Arabidopsis thaliana: one gene and its partner. The protein of the gene in region 1 interacts with the protein of each later gene in a pairwise test. Each region holds a gene or a part of one and is shown in the gene's direction. Other genes may lie near its edges. The genes, in order: ATC and FD.

What was found.
Region 2: the proteins of ATC (region 1) and FD interact in a protein complementation assay, tested with the Arabidopsis thaliana proteins (one study listed by BioGRID).

The regions. Positions count from the first base shown.
Region 1 is NC_003071.7:11,771,087-11,775,441, forward strand, and holds ATC (centroradiali), read left to right. Parts: upstream 1-2,100; 5' UTR 2,101-2,330; coding exon 2,331-2,534; intron 2,535-2,887; coding exon 2,888-2,949; intron 2,950-3,067; coding exon 3,068-3,108; intron 3,109-3,202; coding exon 3,203-3,423; 3' UTR 3,424-3,660; downstream 3,661-4,355. Other genes in the region: AT2G27570 (P-loop containing nucleoside triphosphate hydrolases superfamily protein), read left to right, coding at 4,243-4,355. UniProt on the Arabidopsis thaliana protein: May form complexes with phosphorylated ligands by interfering with kinases and their effectors. Can substitute for TERMINAL FLOWER 1 (in vitro).
Region 2 is NC_003075.7:17,002,611-17,007,010, forward strand, and holds FD (Basic-leucine zipper (bZIP) transcription factor family protein), read left to right. Parts: upstream 1-1,911; 5' UTR 1,912-2,135; coding exon 2,136-2,843; coding exon of another isoform or gene 2,844-2,870; exon of another isoform or gene 2,871-2,978; coding exon 2,979-3,056; intron 3,057-3,270; coding exon 3,271-3,342; 3' UTR 3,343-3,698; downstream 3,699-4,400. UniProt on the Arabidopsis thaliana protein: Transcription factor required for the transition to flowering promoted by FT.

The DNA.
Region 1 (4,355 bases):
AAATGCATTTAGTTTCAAAACATTTTTCTGGTATACACTGAAATTTCTAAGTTCAACAAAGTTTGCAATAAACTATAGCTGTCTTAATATATAAGTCACGAATAACGGCTCTAATTAAACGATGTAACTGACGAGCTTTAATTTCGATTGTTTTTTTACTTTTCAGTTTCAAGGAACAAATGAAAGGTTGGTTTCCTCTACCTGAGAAGAAAAGTTCTATCACAGGACTTGCGAATAAGACCGTATATATGATTGACATGTTGTGCTTTTAATATTAATGTTAGTGTCACAGATTGTTGTGGGAGCATATGCTAAAGTATAAAAAAATAATAATTAAAAATATTATCACGATCACATGCAAAGTACACTTGAAACGTGTAATCTGAAGACAGTTAGGTTGGAATCAGGGTTTCTATAAGAGGAAACCCAGATCTTGTTTTTCTACCTCATAGTTTTTTTTTATGGAAAAGGAAAGAAATTACATATAAATAATTCAAAAGTGGCAGAGGAAATGAATCTCTTTGTCAAGTTGATGTGACCTTTCACAATTTGTCAAACTGTCAGCTTTTGAATGTGTTGGAAACGCATTGGGGTTGTGGGTCGCCAACATTAACATTTCCAAAAATGGTAAGTCCAAGAATAATATTAGTTGTTTTGGGATATATTCTTTGCAATACATCCACACACCTAACAGAGAATATATTTCTTTTCCTCATACTCCAATATTATTACTTTTTAAGAAAATAATTAAGTTTCATATTACCCTTATTGCAAAAGCGACGTTTAGAATTTTAAACAGAATAATGACACTTGAAATTTGTATCTTTCTTTCTTTAACATTAAAAAACAAGGGGGCGATAAAAGCAACCAAAGCTGTGATTCATGGTCGACACTAACACATGGAATAAAAAAAGGTTATCTCTTTTTTCCAACATTTCTCTGGTGACTAAGTTAATTGAATAAATTGTATGCATATATTTATATGTTCTATATATATACTGTCCAAAAAGGAATTGAGGAATTTTTAACTTTTAAGGACCATATTGGAAAATCTGCCACTTCTCATCCACTCATAGGTTCGAAATTGGTTTATTATAATTTTAACGCACAAATTCCCTTGTTAGTGCTAAAGAAGGATACCTACAAAAATTCATATCGAATTCTAGACGAAGAGACCTATATTGTAGAGCTGAAAACTGATGTTTTACAAAAACTGATATTTTTTCGGGAATGATTTGGTTTAAGCAAGAAATATCTTAGTTTGCATTATTCCTAAGCTGGTACTAGAAAACAACTATCGATAAAACGAGGTTGTCTTCCCTTTGGCCACCTATTGACATAAGAAAACAAGACACCTATCTTTTTTCTCTAGCAAAGATACTCCTAGAGTCCTAGTCCTACGACGAATGGCGATGCTTTCTTAAATAAATATAAAATATTAGTTCTCTACTTCTCCTAACGTACTAGAAGTAGAAATTCTGCTGAAAAAAGAAAAAGAAAAAGCTAAATTCCCGACGCCACCATTTATAATGCGTTCATTCTGTTTAAATAATGGCTAGAGAAGAACATGGCCGTAAATCCGTAATAACACTTCCAGGTTCTTTCATTCTAACATAAATTTATGTATAAAATAAAGTTTTTAATCTATCCACCTGACTAATTAAATTTTTATTTTCATAAAGGAAAGAGTTTTCCTATAAAACAACTATAAAAAAAATAATAGTATCAGATTTGAAATGACGACTTCAGTGACGATAATTTTACTGAATTACCATCACGCCCATTATTATGTTTTATTTTATAAAGCAATCTTTTATTGTGTCCTAACAAAAAAGCTAACTTCTAAATTCTTACTAGGGTTCAAAGACATATTTTTTTATCGAATCATGTCGTATGTATACAAAAATAATTTATTTTGGCCAATACAACAGATAGTTGATTAGTGTTCAGAAATACCCAACTCTCCAAAAAAAACTACTCTCATTTTTTTGTGTAAGGTATGATCCTAGATTAAAGAAACGTCTTTTTTTTTATTCTCTCTGAAGCATCTTATTGACAAGAAAATAAATAAATTCCTTGGATCTAAACGTCAAATCAAATGCATTACAGCCATTTCTTCTCTTAAACCCTATAAATATACATGTTCTTCTCACTTTATGCTTCATCAAATCAACACAAACATATCCCCCAAAGCAGAACTAAAGCAAGCCCAAGCTTGTCTCTCCCCATTCCAACACACACATTTTCATATCAAACTCAAAACACTATTTCCTTAATTTCTTTCACTTATTCTTCATTTCTTCGTCTAAATTCTTAACCAAGCAATCGAGATGGCCAGGATTTCCTCAGACCCGCTTATGGTTGGGAGAGTGATCGGAGACGTTGTGGACAATTGTTTGCAGGCAGTGAAAATGACGGTGACCTATAATTCTGACAAGCAAGTCTACAATGGCCATGAACTTTTCCCTTCTGTAGTTACATACAAACCTAAGGTTGAAGTTCATGGGGGTGACATGAGATCATTCTTCACTTTGGTACGCATTGCTTTATTGACCTATATCGTCATATAAATCATATATATAGTAAATGCATAAATAACTTAGCTAGGTGATTTTTATTTTTCGTTAAATGTCTTTTTCTTCCCGTCTTTATGCCATAAATAGAAACTTTTTTCCTCTCTAACTGTTAGACTTATTTGAATATTTCTGTAAAACACACAAAAATAAGATTTTAATTATTTATATTATCTACTATGCAGTTATATATATATAATATTAATTTGCAGAACGAACTAGTTTGTGTCAGATATACATACGTGTTATATAATGTTTATCTGTGTATATTGGATGTGTCACGTGTATTCACATATATCGAATATTTCAAACAGGTTATGACTGATCCTGATGTTCCTGGACCTAGTGATCCTTATCTGAGAGAGCACTTGCACTGGTAAATTTTGTTCCATTCAAATTTTGTTAAGTTAGAGATTTACCAAAGAAGCAAATAAAAAATGTTAAGAGACATATAATAAAAATACATAACATTTTCTTGCAATGACTAATCTCAGGATTGTTACCGATATCCCGGGGACGACTGATGTATCATTTGGTAAGTCCTATACATATATCCTTAGATATAACAAATCACATTTCATATACGTATATTTTCTGTTCAAAGATTTTAATATGAGAATACAAAACAGGTAAAGAGATAATCGGGTACGAGATGCCTCGGCCAAACATAGGGATCCACCGCTTTGTGTATTTGTTGTTCAAGCAGACCCGTAGAGGAAGTGTGGTGTCTGTGCCATCTTACAGAGACCAATTCAACACTCGAGAGTTTGCTCATGAGAACGATCTTGGCCTCCCCGTCGCGGCTGTTTTCTTCAACTGCCAGCGTGAGACCGCCGCTAGACGCCGTTGAATGACTTTCCACCGCTGCCGCAGCTGCCCTAACTAACTCTGGCTGTGCCCGGACAATATGTGTTGTTCCATGCATTCTATATTTTAGTTACGGGAAACAGCTTTTCCTATCATATTTATGTGTGTATTTGTTATGAACTGTTTGTGATCTGAATAAACTTGGCTTATAATCTCATGCATGGTCTATTTTCATATTGATGGATGTTAATTTTTAGTATTATCAATGTAATTATACCTGATATTCCTTATTTTCAAAATTATGATATAGTTGTATAATGGTAGTCGTCCTTAAGTAATTGGTGGCTGCAAGCACCAAAAATTTGTTTGGACAAATTACCATGATCGCCGTCTGTGGGGATCGAACCCACGGCCACGTGGTTAAAAGCCACGCGCTCTACCACTGAGCTAAGACGGCTTTGATTACTTTCATAAAGTTATCGAAAATCAATCCTATAAACTCATTATTTTATTCATGTTTTGATATACTTTTACTTAACGCAGAAAAGATACTATAAGTCAATAACGCAAAGTTAAATACGAATTTTCTACAACTAAATCGTAACTACGACAACAAATCCTAGCAACCATAAGTCCATAACGATTGACAAATAAACAAACAAGTGTCGATTGAAAACGTTAACAATTGACAAATAAACAAACAAGTGTTGATTGAAAACGTTGCGTATTGCAACAACACAATCATAATGATGATTTACAAAGTGTTGTTCGCTTTAGAACCAAAGCTCCCGTTTCAGATGCTGAAGGCTCGTTGAGACCTCTTATCTCATTCCGCTTCTGTCCTAAACCACAATTTTTGGTAATGGATGATAAAAAAATGGCGGTCAACTTGAGAAACGATGACTTAAGCGAAGAAACAAAGACTCTCATCTCTTCACTACCTTCAGACAAAGATTCCACTGGGATAAATGTTTG
Region 2 (4,400 bases), on another chromosome or scaffold:
AGAGAAATAGATTTGATGGAGTTTGGGACAGAGCAATATAGTGCTGACACCTGTCCAATCCCCTGAGACGTGACATGTCACACTCCTTTCTTATACAACTTACAAGTTCTCTGCACAATTTTATGATACAATGGACATTTGAATTCACTCGTTACAGACTATACCCCAACTTTATTTTGAGTTTATTTTGCAAAAATGATTTGAGACTGGGAAAATTTGTTTTATTTTCGTCAATGAATATGCGTAGTGACGTCGATACTAACAAAAGTACTACTCTTTACATTCGAATTTTTGGTGGTTGCGAAACGACAACAAAGATCTATGAAATTTGTGTTTCACATTAAAAACTCAAAATGTATTTTGAAACCCAATGTTTGGAAACATGTAAACAAATTAAAGTCTTTGTACTTTTCACCAACAAATGGAAAATATATATCTTCTAACAAATATGAGTATTTGAGGAGCTTGCATTTTCGATAAACAGCTCCTAATGTAGTACTCTTTGCATGTTCAAAAGATGGGACGTTTCCTTGAGGGCTGATTTCAACATTCAGAGAAAAAAAATTATATACATGTACGGAAATGAATAGTTAATCTTGTTGAATAGAATAAGAGAAGAGGAAAGAAAAACAAATATCGTATGTTATTATAGTTTATATATAATCAACTTGCAATAAAGGAAAAATTTGAAAAGCGTGACTAGATATGCACTTGGAGACTGACTTACATAGTAGATACGATAATCGAATATCTAGATATCTGGATGGTACTCATATTATTTGTTTATTACGTATGATCAAAGATTTATTAATATGTATCATCTTCTACTTGGCTTAATTATTAACTAGTTTAGTATTCGTCTCTAATCTTCAAAACAATCAACATAAATATCTAAACTATATTGGTCATATAAAATCTAATACTTTACTATCCACTTGTAATGTTTGTTTTGTTCAGAGTTGGAGACCCACATAAATTGATTTCCCTATCCGTATTGTAAAACAGACTATTGACACTTTGATCAAATCTCGTTGGATGACATGAACACCAATGATTTGAAGTGGGGAACAATTCAATAGTTAACAATATTTTTGTTATTTAAATGCATTTCAACTATACGGTCGATATTATTTGAAATGTTTGCAACTACATATTTAAGAAAACGTTAAGTGCAAATGACCCGTTCTTAAACACTCCGAATCTCATATAAAATAAAGTTTTTTTGTACTAATCAAACATATAATTTTCAGACTTTTAGTTTTGATAGAAACAAATTACATATACGAACACCCAAGTACTACTTTTTATATTCGATAATATTATTCTATCTTCGTTTAAAATATATTAACCACATCAAGAAAAGAGGAATGAAATATTCTAACGGAATTAATGTTTGCTGCCAAAAACAAAAAAAAAACAGAAGAAATTTTTACATTTGAGTTTATTGGTATAGTAGTTAGGATTTTGTGTTTTATTATATATTTAAACGAATTTATTTAATTATTTCTAATACAGAAAGATGTATATATTCTTATCTACTTTCATTTTGTTTTTAATGTTTTATTTCGTCAATACCCTTAGGGGAAAAAAGTGTATTTTGGCAAATTTTCCTTAAATCTAAGAGCAAGAACAAAAATTAAAGTCACACATGAAAGTTGAAAGTGATCCAAAGGGATTTGATATTAGAAAATAGAAAGTGAGATAAAACCAAAAATAATTTTATATATTTGCCTGGCTTTTTACAAGCATCTCACCCCCACTCACTCTTTACATTTAAGGATGATGAAAAATACTTCACTTTTGAAATAATCAAACACCATTTTTAATCTTTATAATAACTCTGACGTTGAAGACATCAACAAACACCTTTAATTACATATAATAGTTTATGGAATTTCTCTTCTTCTTCTTGAAATATATTATTTAATTGGAAATAGTTCAATCCCTCTGTCTCTTCTTCTGGAGTCTTGGACCCAACCCCATCATTCCAGAAATGACCGGCTAAAGTCAAGAACCTCTCTCTGAGCTCTCACCACTTTCTCTCTCTACTCCCTCTCTGCGTGTAGGATACTACTAGACAATTGACAACCAAAGACTAAAGCTGTGTTGTTGGTTCACTTCTGTTCTCTTTTCCAATGTTGTCATCAGCTAAGCATCAGAGAAACCATAGACTCTCTGCTACAAACAAGAACCAGACTCTCACCAAAGTTTCTTCCATTTCATCCTCATCACCATCGTCTTCTTCTTCATCATCATCAACCTCATCATCATCTCCTTTACCTTCTCAAGACTCTCAAGCCCAGAAGAGATCTCTTGTCACCATGGAAGAAGTTTGGAATGACATCAACCTTGCTTCCATCCACCACCTAAACCGACACAGCCCTCATCCACAACACAACCACGAGCCAAGGTTCAGGGGCCAAAACCACCACAACCAAAACCCTAACTCAATCTTCCAAGATTTTCTCAAAGGATCTTTGAACCAGGAACCAGCACCCACAAGCCAGACCACGGGTTCTGCGCCTAATGGCGATTCCACCACGGTCACTGTTCTTTACAGCTCTCCTTTTCCACCTCCTGCAACTGTTCTGAGCTTGAATTCCGGCGCTGGCTTCGAGTTTCTCGATAACCAAGATCCTCTTGTTACCTCAAACTCTAATCTTCATACCCACCATCACCTCTCAAACGCTCATGCCTTCAACACCTCTTTCGAGGCTCTGGTTCCATCCAGTTCTTTTGGTAAGAAAAGAGGCCAAGATTCCAATGAAGGTTCAGGGAATAGAAGACATAAGCGTATGATCAAGAACAGAGAATCTGCAGCTCGTTCCCGCGCTAGGAAACAGGAATGTGCCTCTCCTCTTCCCTCCTAATCTTCTTCTACTCATGTGTATCAAAAAGGGAAGAAAAGAAATGTGGTTTTGCCATCAAATTGCTTTTGATCTAAAAAAAGGTCTCTTGGTTTTGATTCTCATTTGCAGGCTTATACAAACGAGTTAGAACTTGAAGTTGCTCACTTGCAGGCAGAAAATGCAAGACTCAAGAGACAACAAGATCAGGTAAACAAGCAGAGCCAAGTTCTTAATGTTTTACCCTTTTGTAGCACTCATGTCATTAGATCAATTCCTTGTAGTTTAACCAACTTATAAAAAGAGACAGACAGACAGCCTCTGGAGTATATTTGTTTTACACACTTTTTTGTCCAATGACATTTTGGGTGGTTAGATTCTGATACTTCAGTTGTGTGTTTATTATGTGTGTGTGTGTGTGCAGTTAAAAATGGCTGCAGCAATTCAGCAACCCAAAAAGAACACACTTCAACGGTCTTCCACAGCTCCATTTTGAGAAATCTACAAGTCCTTGTTTCTCTTTTGGGGATTGAGATTGTCTCATGAAGAAGTGAAAAAATGGCAAAAGTTTGTACCCTTTTTTATTAGCTATAAGTATAACTAAGCCTAAAATTGTAGAACTAAGATATTGTAGGGGAAAAAAGAAGATGTAAAACAAAAGACCCGGAAAGAGAAAAGGATCTTTCAATTTCCTAAGGCACAGGAACACCTGTCCTGGGTCCTCTCTTAATGTTCTGTCGTTTTCCTATGCAAACCCTTTTTTCACTTCTGTACTAACTTCTACTTGTATTCTTGTTGTAGTAATGTTCTACTTCCTCTTCTAATACTAGTAAGAAAAAAAACCTTATGTTTTACTGTTTAACCAATTTGGTTCTTAAAAGAAGCAAAGGATCAAATGACCAATAGACAAAACAGTGCTCCACTTAAATGATGACAATACCAGAGAAAAGTGAGAAGGGGACCTATCACTGAACATTTAATTTTCTCCCTATCACATTATCACATAAATATCCAATCCTTTGGCTGTCTACCATACAAGCCAACAACTTGCAATATGATTTTGAAACCTCCAAGCCAATGGGAATTAAGTTCACCACTTTTCGGGTTGGTCAAGAGAGAACATGATAAGTTTCTTATTCAGCATGGTCACTCCCCACGTTTTATTTATATTCATAGTACATAGTATTGTAGCTTTTGCTCTAACTGGTCACCATCAAAAACACTAGGTGTGTTTGTATTCATTTGGTTTATCAAGAGAATAGTTTTTATCTTCTTTTGGCCCAATTTCATTTACCTGACAGTGATAAGTCTTGTTGATCCACTTTTGGTTGTTGATATATTGCTGTGTATTCTTTTAAGCAACCAAAAGTGGACATCAAGAGCTAATATGGTGTAAATATAGTGGACATTAAGATAAAGAAGAATAGTTACCAAAAGTGGGACTATGACTAGAATCTATCCTCACATTATATGGTTACACTTAGAGCCCCTCAAATAGGCATCCAATACTTTAAATCATGCTTCTACTTTCATTCCAGTCAATAAGAATCCTAG